Linked DNA regions of Tribolium castaneum. The protein of the gene in region 1 interacts with the protein of each later gene in a pairwise test. Links are inferred from orthologs where the notes say so. Each region holds a gene or a part of one and is shown in the gene's direction. Other genes may lie near its edges.

Region 1 (2,404 bases):
ATCGTTAATATGTGGACATATGTCAGAAACAAAAATAATCGAACAGGTTTTGTTTGACCCAATTAGAGTTTTTAAAGAAAATCACAAAAATAAATTATTATTATTTCATTTCTGCAAAATCAGGTTTATTGTGACATCGGGGGAAACGGCTAAAATTACAGAAAAACGTAAAGTAGGGATTTGTACAGAAATAAATAAAACACAAGCGCGTAAAATGCTCGAATTTTGCAACGTAAGGTCTTGTTTGCATTAAATTTTTTCATCGTAAAACGGCAATAAACACGCTAGAAACATGGAAAATGTAATCTGTTTTTGCTTTAAAATACGAGCATATTAAACAAAATTCATTACTCAAGAAACAATAGCGAAAACTTTTGATTTTAAGTTTTTACATAAGTTTTAAAAAAACACTCAAAAATAGTAGTAATGTGCTAGGTTTTCACCGGTATAGTTTCTAACAATTAATTTTTTTCTTTTCTCGTATTAATAAAATTAAATCGAGAGAACTAGACAACCCGTTATATTTTTTTTACTTTAAGCTCCTTTTACTTAAACTGCATCAATTCCTTCGTAAATTGCTTTTTAATTTAGCATTTACTTACACAATCATCATTACTTACATCAAAAACATCTTTGGTTTTGAAACAGATAAAAAAATCTATAGAAATTCAAACCGTTATTCCAGTTCTAGAACACCTTTCAAATGATAATCTCGAATCTAATAATTGCTGTTCATTCTTTTCTAGAATAATCCAGAACGTTTCCTTTTATTTTTTCCAAGTAAACCAAAATTTATTTTTGCCTCCTGCTTATAATTAAGGAAGTGGCGGCTAGACATGTAAATATACATTTCTTGAAAGAAAAATTACTATTTGACGTGTAAAAATAGATCCTTATCGAAAGAAGATAAGCAGAAATGTGCAAGTTGATGTTAAAAACATGGTCACTGCAATCAATTATTTTTTCATCTCGTTCGATACTTTTTTCCCCGTGACCTTATTTTGTGAAGGTAATGATAACAAAAAATAACAATATTGCACAGAATTACGAAAAAATAATTTAGACGCAGTAAAAACAAGACTATCAGTAAAAAATTTATATTATAACCGTCAGCAAAAATATCATGGCCACATCAAGTTCACGTGGTGTATTGGTTGGCAATAAAATACAACAGAAAAACCCTAAGACGCCCACGCTAATTTAGAAAGTAAATAAATAAACAATGAAATAAATAAATGCGAAATCAAGGACAGGCGGCACCGAGTCGAGTTGACTGTTCCAAGAGTGAAAAAACCATTGTTCTGTCTTCAGATGCGCATATGATTAATTTTAATTAATTAAAAATTACTAATTTATGGTCAAGTCGGCGGAAATAGCGACTTTGTCGCTCGAGTTGGCAGCAGTGCGCGTGCGTCCCCACGGGTATAAAACCCAGGCGGCTGTGGCCCGCTTCAGTTGTTTGAATTGACGTTTGACAGTGAAAAAATCTCGTGCAAAAACCAAAATGTCCGAAGCTCATTTCGACGAATATGAACATTACAACTTCTTGTACGACAAGCACATCTACAGCGGCCACAGTGGCAAGCAAAGGAGCAAGAAGGAGGTCAGCGAGCACACGAACCACTTCGACCCCAGCGGACATTCCAGAAAAATCGTCACCAAGATGATGAACACGGAACAGAATAGAAGGGCGAAGCACTGATCTCGAATCCCCAATCTGTGATTTTCCAAAGACGTTCAGTGGCGAGTTTTGAGGATTTTGTGATTTTGTTTGACACCTCGGTAGAAGACATTGCTTTCATGATATTGTTGTGTTGATAGAAATGGTGTTGACGCGATGATTATATTAAATTATTGTTAGTTTTTCGAGTATTGTATTTTTTCAATAAATACTGTACACCTGATGTAGTGTTTTATTTTATTTGCGTTGGTAGACAACCATTGGAAAGTTTCCAGAAGGTTGGCGCGGGGCGGTAGAGGTGTGCGCAGGGTCAACGATTGCGCTTTGTTTGGTTTCTAATTATAGCAGGCCATGGACGTATCCGTTTTTTGTTTTTTTTTTAACTTTAATCTAGAAGAGATTTTTGAGCTGTTCTAGAAGTAAATTCCACTGTATAATGATGATGAAATAATTATTTGTAAAATTCGAAATCCGACAGTATTTATGTTAAAAATAAAAGAAGAAATCACTAGCTATTTCAGTTTTAAAACAAAATGAATAAAAACTTGAGATTTAATAGTAGGCGTTTAAAAGATTTTTTTTTCATTAACAAAACCATCAGACAATAGAAGTCATTTTGCCAAATTAACTTCTGTAACTTACATTATTCATCGTTGCCAACTTAATTTCAGTCACAGGCCACTTGAGCAAAAACTAATTGAATCCATGGCATTTTGGAATTTT
Region 2 (8,772 bases), on another chromosome or scaffold:
GCCGCCCGATTTCCTCCTCGCCCATGCCAGGCTTGCCCAAAACCAGGAACGAAACGGGTTTTTTGCGCAAAAATTGTCGGTAGATTTTGCGGTCCGAGTACTCGTTCATTTCTCGATAAGTTAGTTCTTTATCGAGAGAGTCCATCGAACGTTTGGACTCGAGTAAATGACTTACACGAGCGTAAGCATCCACATCTTCGGTGAAAGGGTAGTAAGAATTGACGTAAGGGTACCATTCCCCAGCTGGTGGGGGAGAAATTTTTTGGTCTTCTTCGTATTTGACGCCAGGAAGGAAGCGAAAAAGACTTTTTTTGATGACTACTGTTTGGTCAGGTGTGATGTTGGTGAGGTGGTTGCGTTTGTGCACGTAATCGGAATCGTGCGACATTTTTAGTTTAGTTTAAAAGCGCAAACACCCAAAATGTTTAAAAATGTCAAGCAAAATATTGTCACTTTGTCACTTTGGCAGTGACGGGTATAAATAGTTAACCCAAGTTATTTTAATAAATTAATTTTTGATTTTTCGAAGTAAAAAAACTGATATAATATGTAAAATGAGCCGCAGAATTCAATAGAACAAACCGCATTGCTCTACGACTTTTAGTTTTTTTTTATGAATTTTTTTAGTGAAAAACTTTGATCGCCTCTGTAGCCGGAACCGTTGCCCGGAGCGGCTCCGGGTTTAATCGAAAAAATAGAGAAAATTAAGCGCTATCAGATGGTTTTTTGTTCGTTGCTCTAAGTCTTACAGTTTCCGAGAAAAACGCAAAAAAAGGTTTCCATTTTCACTTTTTTTCAATTTTCAATCGCCAATTACGGCGAAACTATTAAAGATATCGAGAAACGGAAAAATGGAGGATAACCGGAATAAAAAACTCTACAAAATGGCATAGGACTCGCAAAAAAATTTTCAATTTTCAAACGCCGATTACAGCCAAACTAAAAGAGCTAGGAGAAAACGCTTTTTTAGATCGAAAAGAGCACATCAAAATCTATAAGATAGGATCGATTTTATTTGATTTTGAGACACTTTTAAAATTAGCCATTTTGTGGGAAGGGGTGTTAATTTTTTTTTATTTTTTTTATTTTCTCAATTACGACTAAACTACTTGAAAAAGTGTAACTGTTTTAATCCATACTAATGCAAAATGATCTGGAGAATCGATTGGCATTGAGAAAATTGCCAAATTCTCAATAGTTTTTAAGTTATATTTTTTTTTTAATTCGACCAATTTTTGCTTTTATTTGCAATTTTCTCGAAAACTATTAGTCGGAGTACAATGATCTTTTTTAAAAAAGATGGATAATATAAAGAGCTTTCCAACGATAGTACACTTCATAGAGTTATCTCTCATAGTTCCGGAGTTATTGCTCGATAAATGTTCCGGGTACTCGAAATCAACCAAAATCGCGACAAAAATTGGAAAAATTAAACATAAAAAAATCGAACATATGAACTTTTTTTGAACTTTTAACAACTCTAGTGGATTGTTAAGATATATAAAAGTCCATAAAACTATGCTAGAGTGAGTTTAATTTTTTTTTTATGAAAGTATTTGCGTTGACCATTAAAATTTTAAGCAAAAAAATTCAAAATTTTAAATCTCGTAAAAACCCGGTATAATACGTAGAATGAGCCGCTTTGCTCTCAGACTAAACAATTCTTTTTAAATCGCAATAAAATTTTGCCAACAAAAAAATTTTCGGATTGGGAAAAATTGGTGAAGATACTTATTTTCATTGGGGTCGATGGTGCAGAAGGGGAAGTTTTCGGCGGCGGCCGAGCTCTTGGTGAGCACATTGAAGAAGGTGGACTTGCCGACATTGGGTATCCCGACGATACCGACCCTCAAGTTGGTGCCCACCCGCCCTATGAGCGGCTTTCTCTCCGGCTCTTGTACCTTTTTAGGTGGCATGATCTGCAACACGAGCAACAAGACCGAATTAAACCACCTTTTAGATAAGGTCACGAGTTGGCATTCTGCGCCTTTTTCGTCCATTTTCCGATATGCAAATCGTCGGTTATGCGTTCAAATAATAACACACATCACCGACTGCAACTTAATTTGCACAAAATAGCAATTTTCAATCTGATACCGAAATTGTAACTTAGGGACTTTGCAGAGCGTTCAGCATTTTTAAAAAAGCACTACATAATAATAAGCTCACCGTTCCATAGGCTACAATTTCGAATTTACCATCAATTCCTACTTTCATATTAATGTAATTTGCCACACAGCGCCCCAGGCCCTTAAATCCGCCGTTATAATTTCGAAATTTCGCTGATTTAATCAATTTTTTACTAAAACAAGAACCGTCTCAAATTTCAACCAAATTCGAAAACGCCGCGACCCGTCATCACGCAAACCACCGCCAGGTGGCGACAAGGACCCACACACGATTTAACCCACAAAAACATAATTCCCGCAAAAACGCGACTAAACATTACGCAAAACAAACTTTTTTGTCATCTAATCCCCAAATAAGCAAAACAACAGCGAGACATGAACCCGATCGGCCCAAAAAACACGTGAAAGTTGCATAACCTCAAAGCCATTCTGTCGTTTTTTACCGCAAGACAAAGCCATTAATCGGAATTTTTTTTACACCGATCCATTCATACACTCGCACTACTCACCTCGATAAGGTCTAAAAGTGTTTTTGTTAAAGAATCAGAAAAACTCACAACACTACACAATCACCGGTAACCTATATTTTGACAGATAAGCGATCTTTTTTTAGGTTCGACGCCCGGCTAAAAGGTGGGCAAAAAAATAAAATTTTGATTTGTTAGCACATTTTCCCAAACGAATCATTCACTAATTATTGATTACTAATTAAAAAAAAACCTGATTATAAAATATCTGTAGCTCCCCCCCAAGCAGGTGTTACTCAATTGTTTAAATGCAAAATTCCCAAGGACACTTTCAACCCCTCAACTAATTAATTATTTTCTCATTAAATCTCTACGGAATTGTAAAAAAAAATATTTGGACAAAGTTGGGTAAGACCTACGAAGAACTCTTAAGACAAAATATATTTTTTATTAATGAATTAATTAAATTTGTTCCTGATCGACGTTCGATCGTTTTTTGTTTTAAATAAAAAATCCCCAAATGCAAATTTGACAACTTGACATTTGCAATTATTTGTTTGTGTGAAAAGTGGGACAAAAATGCAAATTTGAGGTGAAAAAGTGTGTTTTGTGCCAAAATTTCGTGTTTACTGAGTCTCTGGTCCTTCGCTGTGTGTGCTTTGGTGAGTGAAACTCAAAAAAAATTAGTTATAATGAACCCGGCTTTTAACAGACGCTCGGATATAACAAACAAAATTATAAGTCCCGTTTTAAAGTCCTATACCTATTGTAGTAACAAACTGGTTCGGTTTTAACGAACAAACAAACATCACTTTTAACGTCCAATATTTAGGCAAAAATACAGTGGCGTCCGTTTATAACGAACCCATTCATAACACACTTGATTGAGTTGTTGCTGAATTAACGCATAGGAAAGGTAAAATCTTGGCCATTTTCGACCAAATCTGGTGATTTTTTCGTTCCACTTTAATAAAAACAGGAAGAAAACCTTGATTTTTGGTCTAAAAACATGTTAAAATTCTCAGAACTTGCAAAAATAATGTCATTTTTGACATAAGTCTTTGATTTATTGAGAAATTTTGCACAATAATGAAGTTTTTGCTGAATAAACGCTTAGGAAAGATAAAATCTTGGTCATTTTCGACCAAATCTGGTGATTTTTTCGTTCCACTTTGATAAAAAACGAAAGGAAATTTTGATTTTTGGTCTAAAAATGTGTTTAAATTTTCAGAACTTGTAAAAATAATGTCATTTTTTACATAATTCTGTGATTTATTGGTTTACTTTTTAAGAAATTTTGCGCAATTATTGAGTTTTTGCTGAATAAACGCTTAGAAAAGGTAAAATTTTGCTGATTTCCGACCAAATTTGGTGATTTTTTCACTTTAGTTTAAGAAAAACATGAAGAAAACCTTGATTTTTGCTCTAAAAACGTGCTTAAACTTTCAGAACTCGTCATTTTTGACATAATTCTGTTATTTATAATTGAGTTATTGCTGAATAAACGCCTAGGAAAGGTAAATTTCTGGTCATTTTCGACCAAACTCTAAACTCGGACTTATCGGACTTATTTGCCTTATTATCATAATATGTAATATTTTTTAATAAGTCTATTTATACTTTATTTCCTGTATCTATTCCAAACTTTGGAACTCCTTTAACTTGAAAATTGTTCTTTGGGTGTTCGTTATGACCGCGTTCCACTGAATTGTTGATTTTGCTATTGCCCACCTTGTGTGTTTGCGCCAAGTAGAAAATTGCGAAAATTTGTTTGTTTGCGAGTAAATGCGTCTTAGAAATAGTATAGAATTACGTATTCCGGAGCAGTTGATTTCCATTTGGGTCCCGGAGCATAGAATGAGCATCGAATCGCACAATTACCGTATGAAGACATCAAAGCGATCGGAAAGCTCACAGGTTATTCAGGAAACCGCAATTGTTGCAAGTGAAGTGCACAAAAGCTTCACCTACAATAGCATTCGCCACATCCGGAATGTCGTAGCTTTTGGTCCTCTGTGTCGTCGTCGATATAATAAAGTATTGCGTTACTCTTAGCCTCGCCGACAGGAAACTGCAAACGTTATTCTGTCATTTTACGAGCCAGCATTTCAAAAAAGCCCATTCTTTGCAAAACATGTTCATTGGACGGGGGCCCTTGGGCCGCTGCCAAGCCTAATTCGCCATAAAAGTAATGAGTCGCTGCCTCATGATATACATTGTCAAAGAAATAAAAGTTTCTGCCTTTGGGGGCCAAATCAAGACCCGGCTCGCTCTTTTATCACTATAATCAGGCCGCCAGCGCCAAGATGGCCAACATCTCGACCACCACGTGAACAATAAGACGGCTCTGATTTTATAAAACTTTTCGGAAAAATTGCGATTTTTTTTTGTTTGAACGAAGCAACTTCCGAGGGTGCTTCCGGTGCACTGTGTGGCACGGGGCGCGATGCAGCTGTGGGGGGCGGAACGAGACCCGCCGCCGGAGAGGACGTCACCTCCTCTAACACATGGTCGCGTCACAATGTGACGGCTTCTTGTTATTTTATATCGGTAAATGTATTAGCGGAGATGGACGGCCTACTCGTTTCATTGCGACAGGGGTGGACACGCGCCCTTGTTTGCCCCAAACAGACCCCCACGAGAGCGACAACAGTATGGAAAAAAATCTTATTCAATTGTACGAAAATGTGTGCTCACAAAGATGGGACTAAATACTTTCGAGAGATCTTTTTTGAAAACATATTAATCTTCAAATCTCGCTTTAAACCGATTTTTTTTTTGTAATCACAATTTGAGAAACGAAAGGACTCGAAGCAGAAGAGGCTTGTTGATTGGTAAAGTCATAAAACAACAGAAGGTACTAAAATTTTATGAACTGTTGCTCTTTTCGAGCCCTGAAGCCCTTTTTCCACAAGGTTTTGCTAAACCGAACCGAAAAATTAGAAAATTAGATGGAAAACGATTACTTTTTGCTTTTTATGAACTAAAAACTCAGTTTTTTTAATTTTGCTAATGTAAAAATAATAAAATTTTTATTGCAATTTTGACTTTAATTTAATTAAAAGTAACATTATTTATAGGTACATGCGTTTGGTGTGAGAACGATCAGAACTTTTTGATATTTCGGAATTTTTTAAGACGAGCTCACCTAATAATTTAATTGCCTCATTAATTTCAGCAAGTTTTCCAAATTAGAAGTTATTAAAATTGTAAGCTTAGTTCATGGTATTTAAGGTGACAGAACCAGATTTTCATAAATAATTGTCTTCTTTAGGCATTTGAGCACATTTTTAAGTTAAAATTTATAGAAATTTTTTAGTAGATTCTTCTAAATCAAGGTGAGAAATCAATTTTCTCAGCTTTTTTTGAGGGTTTTTGCATGTTTTTCAGAGCGCACCGCAAATATTTCGATAAGATTCTCAATAATAACTCGAAATATCAGAAAATTTTGTGGAAAATGAAGCACTGTTTTAAGTTAAAGCCATAATTTTTCTGTAAGATTTCGCTGGTATTTATGTAAGATTATGAGTGTAATTTACTCAAAAATATTCTCGATGAGAGAGCTATAGGTAATAGATAATATTCTACATTAAATTATGGCTGCACTTAAGTCAAATATAATTTTTTAAACGTTTGCTAGGAATTTATTTTCGAGAGACTTTTACTAAATCATGTTGAAATGTCACAACTTCCTCAGCTTTTTTTCGAGCGTTTTGCATTTTTTTGAGACAGCAACGCAATTATTTCGTTAAGATTCTTAACAATAACTCGAAATATCGGAAAAATTTGTCAAAAATGTTGTTATTTTTTTGTTTTATATAAGTGTAATTTACTCAAACATTTTTTTAACCTTCTCGATAAAGGAATTAGAGTTTTATTAATTCTTGCTTTTTTCGAGCATTTGGGCATGTTTTCGAGCTGAAAAATCACGTTTATTGTTTTTTTTTCAATGTTTTGCACGTTTTTGAGATCTCAACGCAATTATTTCGAGAATTTTTCTATGAAAAATCAAAAAATTATGTCAAAAATAGTATTATTTTTCCCTCTTTTCAACGTCTAGTAAACACTTTTTCGAAATTAAGATTTCGAACGGCTAGTGCATTTTTTAGGCAGAAAAGCACTTTTTATTTGGATTTATTTTTCTTAATAATAGCTGGAAAAATTAGAGAAGTATTTTGGAAATGGCTTTATTCTTGCCTTTTGAACTAAAGACCCAGTTTTTCTGTGAAATTTCTTTGTGAATCCTTTTAAGTATAATTTGGAGAAACAGATTTTCTATAAGTTAGTTAAAGTGCCAGTACATCTCAACTTTTTTCAGTATTTGTGGTTTAAAAGGGTCACATTGCCTATAACGAATTAAGTAATAACATCACTTCTCTGTAAGAGTTCTTTCTTGGATGCTTTAATCAGTGATATGTTAATCACAGTTGATTTAATTAATTTGAAAATTTAGTCAACAGGTGTTGAAAGAATGCGATTTTATCGCAAGCCCGCCTTTTACGGCCGATTACAATAATCCTCGTGTCAGAACGGCCGTTTAGGTGGACATGTGTCAACAAAACTCCCTTGGAGGTCTGAACCTTCGTCTGCTTAGTTAGTTACACTTTAAAAAATGAGATTTCGAGGCGCCAATGCGGCAACTTTGACCGACATTTGACGGCTCCTTTGAAACTAATATCCCCTGCTCGTTCTCTCACTCGCACCGAAAAAAAAATCCACGACTGATGTCCAATATGAAACACAATCGTTAATTACAAAAAGGTTTTAATTAAGTTAATTCACTGATCAAAGCATTCTTCCCATATAATTACGGATAATGTGCAGGTTGTAACACGATTATTTATATGCTATTAACGTATCTGTGGAGCAGAAAAATCTAATTGTCAGCACATAAAAGGAAATTTTAATTAGCGAAGCGCGTACCGAATTGATGGCGGATTATTTCGCATTTGAGTGGACGCCCATACACGTACGCAACTAATACGTGCCTCATTTACTTTATTTTTGAGCTTAATAATGGATTATTAGCATTTAGCTGCGATTTTTTACCTAGAGTTTCTTGCATTTTGGTGGTATTTTTTCGTTTCGGGGCGGCAAAAATGGCAAATCGGTAATTACAGGAAAGTGTCGGCGCCATTGCAGCTGAAATTCGCTCATTAATCGCTCGGATTTGATCCAAAAAGTTCGCGTGATGTTGCCGTAATGGCAGATAATTACACTTTCAAGTATTCTCTTAAATTCCTCGCAGTTACGCATTTGCAATGCAAAAATACGAAACGGAACGATTTCCCCTTCGCTTAATTACCTTATTCCCTTAATAAGCGCCCATCATAATAATTCCCTCCCGCCTCGGTCGTCGGTATAAATATTTTCAGTGTGAGCGTTAATAGTAATTTATTTAGACAATTAGTCGCTTAATTAACGAATCGTGTCTTCTAAACGTACTATTACAACTTAATTCAAACGGGCTTTTGTCATGATATGGAAATTACGAGTTTGTACCGGGAAAAATAAGTTTTTTAGGATGGTATAGTTTGTGTATAAATCTTTCAGGAAAGTTTTGAATTATTCGCCAACAGAATTCGGAGAGAAATAACTTACGGCTATTTTATTTATGATATCGGCTGACCCTCCCTTTATTTGGATTTATTCCTTTTTGAGGAATATCGAGGGTCAAGATGTCGCTATGTGTCATCTCGAAACACGCGATCCAGCTCATATTTTATTCAATGGGCCCGAGTATACTACATGAAATTTTCACATACTCGGAAGAATATAATGTTTTGTGACATCAAGCCGACAAAGTTTACGGTTCATTTAAGTTAATTTTCTAAATGAATAATAAACACTATATTTATGTAAAAAAAGTCAACCAACCGAGACCTGTGTGGTTTGGATAAATATTATGTACATTCCTTAATTAGTGTAATTGCTCGTAATTAGTTTTGAAACATTTATGGGAATCGGAACTGAAATTACATGTCGAAAATAATGCCACATTGATGTGCATGTCTCTTATATGTATGGTTACAAATCGACATGCAATTGCCGTTTTATTTTTCTATTGTCAATTTTTATACTGTAATTTGAGATATTTATTTGTGCTAAGTGGGCATGACAAGCGCTACCCACTTTAGCATTGAAAAATGGCAGATTCATCCACAACTCGGCACAGA
Region 3 (8,882 bases), on another chromosome or scaffold:
GCACAACTAAGACGCAGAATATATAACAAAAGATAAGAAAAGTTAACATAAACACCGTCCAAAAAACACAATACGTTACACAAAAACTGTACCATTATTTTAGATGTAGATTTAATTTGCATAAATGTACCTAAAGTAAAAAAATCCCAAAACTTACATAGCACACGTAACCCACAACAGTCCGTAAAATAGTATTTTTCGGCACTGAAATCCCCGTAGTTATAAATATGAGTAGTCAGTACAGACAAGACAAGATAGTCCATAAAGTGTATTATGTAGAGCAGCGTTATGTTATAAGTGTTAAAAAATATATTTCAGTGTCAAGATAATTCCTCAAATCATGTAAATTTTAAAACATTTTGCAAATGACATTATACACATTAGGAACAATCCTTGTTAACTTCACTTTCTATTACAAAAAACTTAATTCTATAGAATAAGCTCCCAATGGTATTACGTTCAAATTCACCTTGTATCGTAATCAATGAAAAAAATTAAGTGTTAGAAAATGAAAATAAAGAAGGTACATTTTAAACTATATGGGTCGGTTTGCAGGCTGATTCTCGATTTCGTTAGAAAAGTATGTATTCCACTACTTTACGGACTATTTTGAGTTATTTTACAGGCTATTTCGTTCACTATATGAACGACATCCCGATAAGTTTTAATTATTTCTCTTACTGTGATAACGGTGGCGATGATTGAGTACCACAAAAAGGCCGTTTCGTTGCGAATTGACTCCATCAAAAGCATGTGTTTGTTCGTCTTATCCAAATCATACTTAATATCAAAATAAGTGTACCACAAAAACGCTGTGCCCAAGATGCTCGCAATTGTGAACAAAATCATGATTATGTACGACACTAAATGGGCCAGTAGATGCAGTATTGAGATAGTTAACAGCGAAAAAACTGAAAATCAAACTGTACAAATTTTCCTGTGACTATCCAAAGGCTCACATAGTGATAAAAACGTTAAATAAAGGATTTCCTTCCAGGTGCTGTATATGTCGCCCAAAATTTGCTCAAGTGTGTCCCAACTGTTCAAAGCTTCGTAAAAATTGCTCAAAATTGCTTCGCCTGCATCTTGGAATGATTTAGGAACGCAACGGTTGAGAACTGGGGTGCTTTAGAAAACCAGTTTTATCTTTATAGAACACAAGTTTAGGGGAAATACCTTTCGTAAATAGGAAGTGCCGGACACGGCCCTAAATAGCTACTCAGAATCTCCTTATTCGCAATACTCTTGTTCTTAAAATCGTCATAATTAAAATCATATCTACACAAACTGACGCCAGTTTTTTGGTAATATTTCTGGATATCTTCAACTTTTTTTAACGTCTCCGTGGGACACTGTTTTACGCATATCTTCAGCGACTGTTTCAGCTCTTTAATATCGTAGAAGAGCAAAAATTGTTTGTCTGAAGTGTCCAGTCCTGATACTTCCAAATTGGACATTTTTCTGTTATTTTTTGTCCCGCAAATGTTCCCAAATGAGTCATAGCCGTTTATAATTCTGATGGGATTGCCGTAGACAAAGGAGAACGCCGCAATTAAAACCTAAAAATATTAATGAGGCAAATTACACACCAATCAAGGTTATTTACCATTAGTAACCAAAACGCAATGTACAAACACAACCAAAACACGTCGGTGCACCCTCTCTGAGCGGGTTCTTCCCGCTCGGGCTCCTTTTTCGACTCGCAACAACCCATTTTCGTTAACTCAAACCACTTTTTTCACAAAAGACGCATGTTTTCACTGAGAAAACCAGCAATGTTTTGGGGGCGGCGGCTTCGACGCGGTATCTTAGCAACAGTAACAATTGCACAATCTCGCCAACCAAACTAAACCTAAAGTTACCAAACTAGCAGGGTTCCAAACGCCAGACCGTGAAAATTACCAGGGTAACAATTGATTTGTTTGTTTGTTTGACGATTTTGTGTTGGTACGTGATGCTGAAGTGACATTTCCCATTTCCAGCTGCATCGTTGTTGCAAAACGATGAAGTTGTAAGATGATGGGCGATCAGTTTCGTAAAGTGGAACAATATTCGCCCAAATCTTCGCCTAGAGGGGCTCGTTCCCCTGTCGTTTCACGTCAGGATTCGTCAGGAACATTAAAAACGACAATTTTGTTAGGAAAGAACCCTTCAATTGTCCCTAGTGGACCTTTCTATTTGATGAAAGAGCCTCCAGGTAAGCAAGACAAGGCTTGAAGTCGTTTAAATCACGCGGACGGTGGTTGTAGGAGAGTCGGAACTAACAGGAGCGACGAATTTGATGGCCTATTATGGCCTTGAGCACTCTTACAGCAAATTCAGTGGGAAAAAACTCAAGGAACAGTTATCTTCGTTTTTGCCAACTTTGCCTGGCGTTATTGACTCTCCTGGACAGCATGATAACAGTTCGCTAAGATCAGTGATTGAGAAGCCTCCAATTGGGGGCAAGGAGTTGTTACCATTGACTAGCATCCAACTGGATGGGTTTAGACTACACCCTGGGGCGGTAAGCTTGATAATTTCCCTTTAATGTGTTTTGTTGAGTATTGGATTTTAGCTCCCTGAACAATACCGCTACGCAAATGCGGCGCCTATGAAAAAGCATAAAAATAAACACAAAAAACACAAACACAAAGATGGGGGGCTTCCAAGTCAGGAGACTACCATTACCGATGCTGGAAGTGATACACACGAGAAGAAGCATAAAAAACAGAAACGACACGACGAAGATAAAGAACGGAAGAAGAGGAAAAAGGAAAAGAAGAGAAAAAAGCAGAAACACAGTCCTGAACACAGTGGGGGCCTAACGCCCAGCCAACACTCAAATTCGTGAAGATCTTTGGATTGTGAATAATTCCAACTTACCCTAGGTTTAAGATCTATTATTATTTATTGTTTATTATTTTTGAAAATAAACAGACTGTTATTTTTATTAAGTTTTTACTGGTCGTTTTAGCAAAGCTAGCACCACTAGATTAATTAAATTCATGATTATCAAAAAATAATAAATTTGAGGGCCTACAAATGCCCTTAGGCCGACCCTGAACTCTGATAAGGTTTTCAGTGCTGCCACAACAAGTTCTCCAGCTGTGTTTCATACAAACTTATTATTACAATTTATATCCATCACAAATGTTGTTTTTAAGTACCTCGACGGTATTCAAGTGGAACTGAGAATATAAAACAAGGTTGTTTGTGGAAAATTTAATATTTTGGCGTGCTTTATTTAGTGTGTTTTTTTGGTGGGGTTGGCAGGGCTGTTAGCGCCGACCAATCACAAGCCCCCAATCCGTAGCGTCTTTTCCCTCGCATCCATTTTCCTCCTGTTTGTTCGATTATCCCAACGGTAGAAGATGGGCGATCGTAAGTATCCCGATTTTTAAAAAATCTCGCTCATCCCTGTACGAAATCACCTCGTGTATTCAAATTTCGACTACTTAACACATTACGAAGTTGTGGTAGTTCGCATTTTTCACGTCGGCTTGCTCTAATTTCATTATTATCGATTTTTCGTTATTTGGGTAATTTATGTACAAACCACTTTTGCAGGATCGTACGCCGACTATTCCCAACCGCCCCCCAGTACTGCGTATCCCAATACGTACGGGGCACCGCCGACCGGCGGTTTCAACCCCCCGGGCGGGGGAGGTGGAGGTGCCGGCGGCGGCGGCGGATCTTGGAATCAAGGACGCTCGTCTGGCGGCGGCTATGGCGGCGGTCAAGGTAAGAAACAGTGATGTGGGGCGACATAGGCATGGTTTGAGTTTGTTTAATAAACTTGAAACCTCCTACTATGTCGCAGAATAATTAGGGAATTGATAGTCCCTTCTTATCTTGATATGAGAAGGGGTAGACATTCGCCTATACATTACTTTTGAAAGAATTGTTTTGTTTTTTTGCTATACTACCGTCAATTGTTCCAGGTGGCGGCGGCGGTTATAACCAAGGAGGTGGTTACAACTCTGGCGGAGGCGGTGGCTACGGCAATAGTGGCGGTTATGGCGGCGGCGGTGGTGGCGGCTATGGAGGTACATTCATAGTTTTGTGTGTTGTTTGTAATTAATTATTTTTGGTTTAGGAGGCCGAGACCGTGGCGATTTTGACAAAAGGCCTCTAGATCGACGTGATTCTTATGGGTAAGTTATCGGTTTTTGTTCTTTTACTTTGTTGGTATTACACTTTGGATGGGAGGTAGTAAAATGATAAAAAATGAATGAATGGGTATTTATTGTCAAAGAATCGTTGAAACTGTATTAATATCAGTTTGCTTACAGAGTTTAAATAGTGTAAGTATTTTGTTGTAATACACACGTCTGTGTTTGTTGTTGGTGGCCGAAAATGGCCGTTAAAACTTGAGTTAAATTATAACAGGTGGTTTTTCCTGAGGTATTTATTTTTGGTACGGTCCTTAAAGGTTGAGTTGGTTGTTACTACAATTAAATGGTTGTTATGTTATTGAGGTGTATAATAAAATCTTTGAGAGTTTAAAAATAAGGTAAACATCGTACATAGACGTGACAACAACTAGAAATAGGTGATCTTCGTGGATGAAGACAATGTGTATGCCAACAAAATGGTTGGTGAAGTGTGTGTTTTTCACCCCCCTCCATTCTCTCGACAACTACTGATGTTTTACTTCTGTTTTAGAGGCGGCAACAGGGGTGGTTATAACAAAGGTAAAAGCACTGAGTCACTGTGACCAGTGCATTTTTGTACACTTTTTAATTGGTATTTTTATTGGTTTTTGGAAGAGCTGCATTATTTTTATTTACGTTTTATAATTTCCCACACATTTTGATTATTTGGTGTTCCATTATTGGACTTGTTTCAAAACTTAGACCCGCGATTATAATGTGAATACTAAATAATCATACGTAAACAGCTCTTCCACTATTCACCTGCGAATGTTAGGGTGCGTTGCTATAATTGACAAGTTGTTTATCTTCGAAAAGTGTTGCAACATTTCATTGTTTCCTCTTTGCTGATTAGGTAACTTCTTTCGTATTTGCAATTTTTTGTACATTTATACAAAAATATAAAGCATTGGAGTAACTTACAAAATCATTACAGAAAATGTTTATTAGAAAATCTTTGGGTTTCGATTGGTCAAGTTTTTATAAAGAATTTTAAACGTCAGTTGCGATTCTAATATTTCTTATTATTATTATTATTATTATTTTTTTATTAGATATGGTTGTTAACATTGATACTTTATTATTTTCTTTTTCGCAAATTTTAAAAATTTGAGTAATTAATGTTTTGTCAGTAACCTTTAGATGTTCTCAAAGAAAATCTTTGGTCCATTTGATTAAATCTAGTTTTTGGATTAGTTTTATAGGTGGTTTTAAGATTTATATTTAGTATCTCCTTCTATTTTCATTGGCGTTTGAAAAAGAAAGGTCTTATTGAGTACATTGTTTTTTATTGATAGAGTAAAGGTAAAAGAATACATAATAGTATTTTTCTCGTGTACAGGGTGATTCAAAAGTCTCCGACTATATATCGTTTAGATGGTGATGAATACATCCAACTAAGCTAAAAGTTCCTATGACAAAAAAAATTGTGATCCTTTTTTTCTTCACTAGATATAGCTTTTTACAAAGTTATATCTTTGGGTTAAGATGAAGTAATCTTAAATCTCTCGAGAGATTTTATAAAATTAGATAATTATTGAAAAAATTCTCTACCTATAATACGTATAAAACATTTATAATTTACCAAATTTAAGAATGAATTCAACAATATGGGAAAGAAATGCGCAAGAATTAATACGGTTGCTAAGGAAAAAGAAATACTAAGAATTAATACGGTTGCAAAAAAAATTGATTATTATGCTTAACTGAACGTCTTTTATCACCCTGTAAGAGTTAATCCTTCATTTTTTAATCACCCTGTTATACATCGGGATTTCAAAAAGTTACGAATGGTTTTATGAGGTACTATGATTTTAATATATATATATTAAAGGTAAAAGGATAATAAAGTTTTTCCTTTTATATTCATTGGTATTAAATAAAAAGGTTCTATTGGGTATATTGTGATACGTATTTGACAAATTTCGATTGAGGAGTACTTTTAATGCTGTCCGTTTGAGCGCTAAGTGCATACTTTATTTTTTGTAGAAGGTTTTTTTCTTCATTGCGTGGTAAAATGGCATCAAAAACGCAATGGTCTTAAATTAAAAAATTGGTATTTATTTCAAGGTGCGTTATGGTCAAGTTTAAGGTTTATTCAGAGTGAGAGAGTAAGAGAAAAGGTATATAGTATTGTTTTTACACACCATAAGATGTGAAACAGTTTTTGAGAACTGAGTTAGTTGGCGCAACAATTAATTTTAGTAAAATTATTATTTTTCACCCTTGACATCATTTTCGTATTAATTTCCAGATAATGGCGGCGGCAGTAACTTGGTGGTTCAAGTCGACACGATTTTTGTGTCTGGAATGAATCCAAATCTCACCGAAGACGAAATTGCTCAACATTTTGGTTCGATTGGCGTGATTAAAGTAAGTATTTGACTAAACTCAGCGACCTGCACTCTGTGCTTGGATTCACTTTCTTGACCAAGTTCAATTTTGATGTGTCGCAATATTATGACAGATGCTATTCCTTGATTGCAAGAAATATTTGCAAACAAGTGTATTCAATCTGCTACAAAGAATTCCATTTTTGACAAATTTGAAATGATTATTTCGTTCCGATTAGATGGACAAGAAAACCCAGAAACGGAAGATTTGGTTGTATAAAGATAAACAGACCGGACTTTCAAAGGGTGAAGCCACTGTTACGTATGACGATTCCAATGCAGCTCAATCAGCAATTTCTTGGTTCGACGGGAAAGAATTCGGTGGTACTCAAATAAGGGTACAGTTGGCCACGAAAAAGGATAATTGGAGTGGCGGTGGCGGCCGCGGAGGTGGAAGAGGTGGCGGCCGCGGGGGCGGTTTTGGAGGAGGCCCAAGAGGCCGAGATGGAGGTACGTGAGTTTGCAATTTTTTTAAAAGAAATTAATACCCCTTCCGACCCAGATTTGTCTAAAATAGGCCAAAATCTGTTTTTATTTTAAGGGGCAGATTAATTCCCCATTAAACACACAGTAGCAGTTTGGTTGCTTCTGATGTATCCTGTCTAGGGAAACATTTTTTTTATTTGATTGGCAAACAATAATTGTTTGGTATAGGTTTCGGCGGTGGTGGTGGAGGCGGTAGCGGCGGCGGCGGTGGTGGCGGTGGCCGAGACCGCGAAAGCCGCGAAGGAGACTGGAAATGTCCAAACCCAGACTGTGGCAACACAAATTTTGCTTGGAGGAATCAGTGCAATAGATGCAGTGAAGATAAGCCGGAAGGTGCCGGTTCCGGGGGTGAAGATCGCAGAGGAGGCGGCGGCGGAGGCGGTAGAGACCGTGACCGTGGAAGAGATAGAAGAGGTGGTGGCGGCGGTTTCCGCGGTGGTGATCGAGGAGGTCGCGGATTTGGCGGTGGAAGAGGAGGCCGAGGCGGTTTCGGCGGCGGTCGAGGAGGAGGCGGAAGGTATTTGTGACAAAATTTGGTGTAGGAAAGATTTTAATTTTGATGTTTAGGGATCGTGGCGGCGGTCGCGATGGAGGACGTTCCAGGCCGTATTAGAAGATTTTTTCCAAATAGATTCATGAGTGTTTTATTTCCATTACAGTATCATATTCATTTCAGTTTTTATAAGGTGATCTATAAGATTTAAAGCTTTGTGTTTTCTAGTAATTACACAACACGAGAAGTTGAGTGGTCACGAGTATGGCATGTTTAGTGAATAATTATTTTATGTATAATACATTTTTAAGTACAAATTACTTTTTGTTATAGTATGACCTTTCCTAATTCCATTTTCCTGCAAAGTCAAAAAATAACTCATAAACAACTTTTTTCTTCAAAACTTCACAATAACGAATTTTTAATAAATGGTATCTGGCGATTAACTGTTTCAAGATTATAAAAACGCCAACGTCGCATTTTACCGAATTATTTCTTTAAATAAGATTCACAACATTGTAAAATGGTTATTGGGGATTAGATCTCTCATTGAAGGTATAAATTAACATTAGCTATTATTTTTTTGAAATGCATGAATAATTTATAACAGCTAATTTTGAGAGAAAATACGACGTTGGCGTTTTTATAATTTTGAAACGGCCAATACGCTGTCTAACAGTCGTGATCGCAATAGATTTTGATCAACAATAAAATAAGTATTTTTGGAACGGTTTCCTAGGAAATAATTTCCAGTGTTGGCACATCAACAAATTGTGATTTTTTTGAGAAATTTTATATTCAAGAAACTTAGTCTGATAGTAAATTTAAAAGTAATCATTCATCGTATTGTTAGGGAGCGATTATTTAGTGTGAAAGATAAAACATTAAAAAATAATGAGAACTGAAAAAGCTAAGAAAATAAGTTGGTAGCTCGATTTTTTAAAATATGACTAGGAATTTTTTTAAGATTTTTCCTGTAATGTACACAAGCTTTTCGACAACGTACCACTGAGTTGGTGTGCCAATTTTTGAGCATCCTGTAGTTTATTCCAAAGTTCACATTTGGTCCATTTTCTGGAAACATATTTAACGAAGAAATAAATTTAAACCTCGGTTAAAACATAGCAACGCCAATCAGATATGCACTACCGTAGCAACTAACTGAGAGATAAAATTTATCTGAAGTTTAATCGGGCCTAGAAGTTCTTACGGGTTTACGTGTGGGGATGAGCTTCTTCGCTGTGTTATTATGCTATGATGATTAAAAATTCAGTCAGAACTGTAAACAAATAGTATTAGGGTCTCTAATAATATTATACGCCAAAAAACTACATAATAACATTTACCATAGTTTTGCAAAAATTGTTCAAAATACCG

Evidence for each region.
Region 2: the proteins of nuclear protein 1 (region 1) and Ran interact in a two-hybrid assay, tested with the Homo sapiens proteins (2 studies listed by BioGRID and IntAct). The link is inferred for Tribolium castaneum from reciprocal best matches to the Homo sapiens genes NUPR1 and RAN.
Region 3: the proteins of nuclear protein 1 (region 1) and RNA-binding protein cabeza interact in a two-hybrid assay, tested with the Homo sapiens proteins (2 studies listed by BioGRID and IntAct). The link is inferred for Tribolium castaneum from reciprocal best matches to the Homo sapiens genes NUPR1 and FUS.

Annotation. Positions count from the first base shown.
Region 1 is NC_087399.1:2,801,017-2,803,420, reverse strand, and holds nuclear protein 1, read left to right. Parts: upstream 1-1,427; 5' UTR 1,428-1,504; coding exon 1,505-1,702; 3' UTR 1,703-1,904; downstream 1,905-2,404. UniProt on the Homo sapiens protein: Transcription regulator that converts stress signals into a program of gene expression that empowers cells with resistance to the stress induced by a change in their microenvironment.
Region 2 is NC_087395.1:25,443,087-25,451,858, forward strand, and holds the start of Ran (GTP-binding nuclear protein Ran), read left to right. Parts: upstream 1-3,126; 5' UTR 3,127-3,258; intron 3,259-8,772. Other genes in the region: adenylate kinase 9, read right to left, coding at 1-388. UniProt on the Homo sapiens protein: GTPase involved in nucleocytoplasmic transport, participating both to the import and the export from the nucleus of proteins and RNAs. Switches between a cytoplasmic GDP- and a nuclear GTP-bound state by nucleotide exchange and GTP hydrolysis.
Region 3 is NC_087395.1:19,586,107-19,594,988, reverse strand, and holds RNA-binding protein cabeza, read left to right. Parts: upstream 1-3,236; 5' UTR 3,237-3,353; coding exon 3,354-3,363; intron 3,364-3,549; coding exon 3,550-3,723; intron 3,724-3,732; exon of another isoform or gene 3,733-3,811; intron 3,812-3,923; coding exon 3,924-4,028; intron 4,029-4,078; coding exon 4,079-4,136; intron 4,137-4,647; coding exon 4,648-4,676; intron 4,677-6,387; coding exon 6,388-6,506; intron 6,507-6,705; coding exon 6,706-6,976; intron 6,977-7,180; coding exon 7,181-7,529; intron 7,530-7,579; coding exon 7,580-7,625; 3' UTR 7,626-7,825; downstream 7,826-8,882. Other genes in the region: Ctl1 (choline transporter-like 1), read right to left, coding at 682-911, 960-1,126, 1,177-1,559, 1,607-1,714; MED19 (mediator of RNA polymerase II transcription subunit 19), read left to right, coding at 2,017-2,197, 2,250-2,506, 2,558-2,833. UniProt on the Homo sapiens protein: DNA/RNA-binding protein that plays a role in various cellular processes such as transcription regulation, RNA splicing, RNA transport, DNA repair and damage response. Binds to ssRNA containing the consensus sequence 5'-AGGUAA-3'.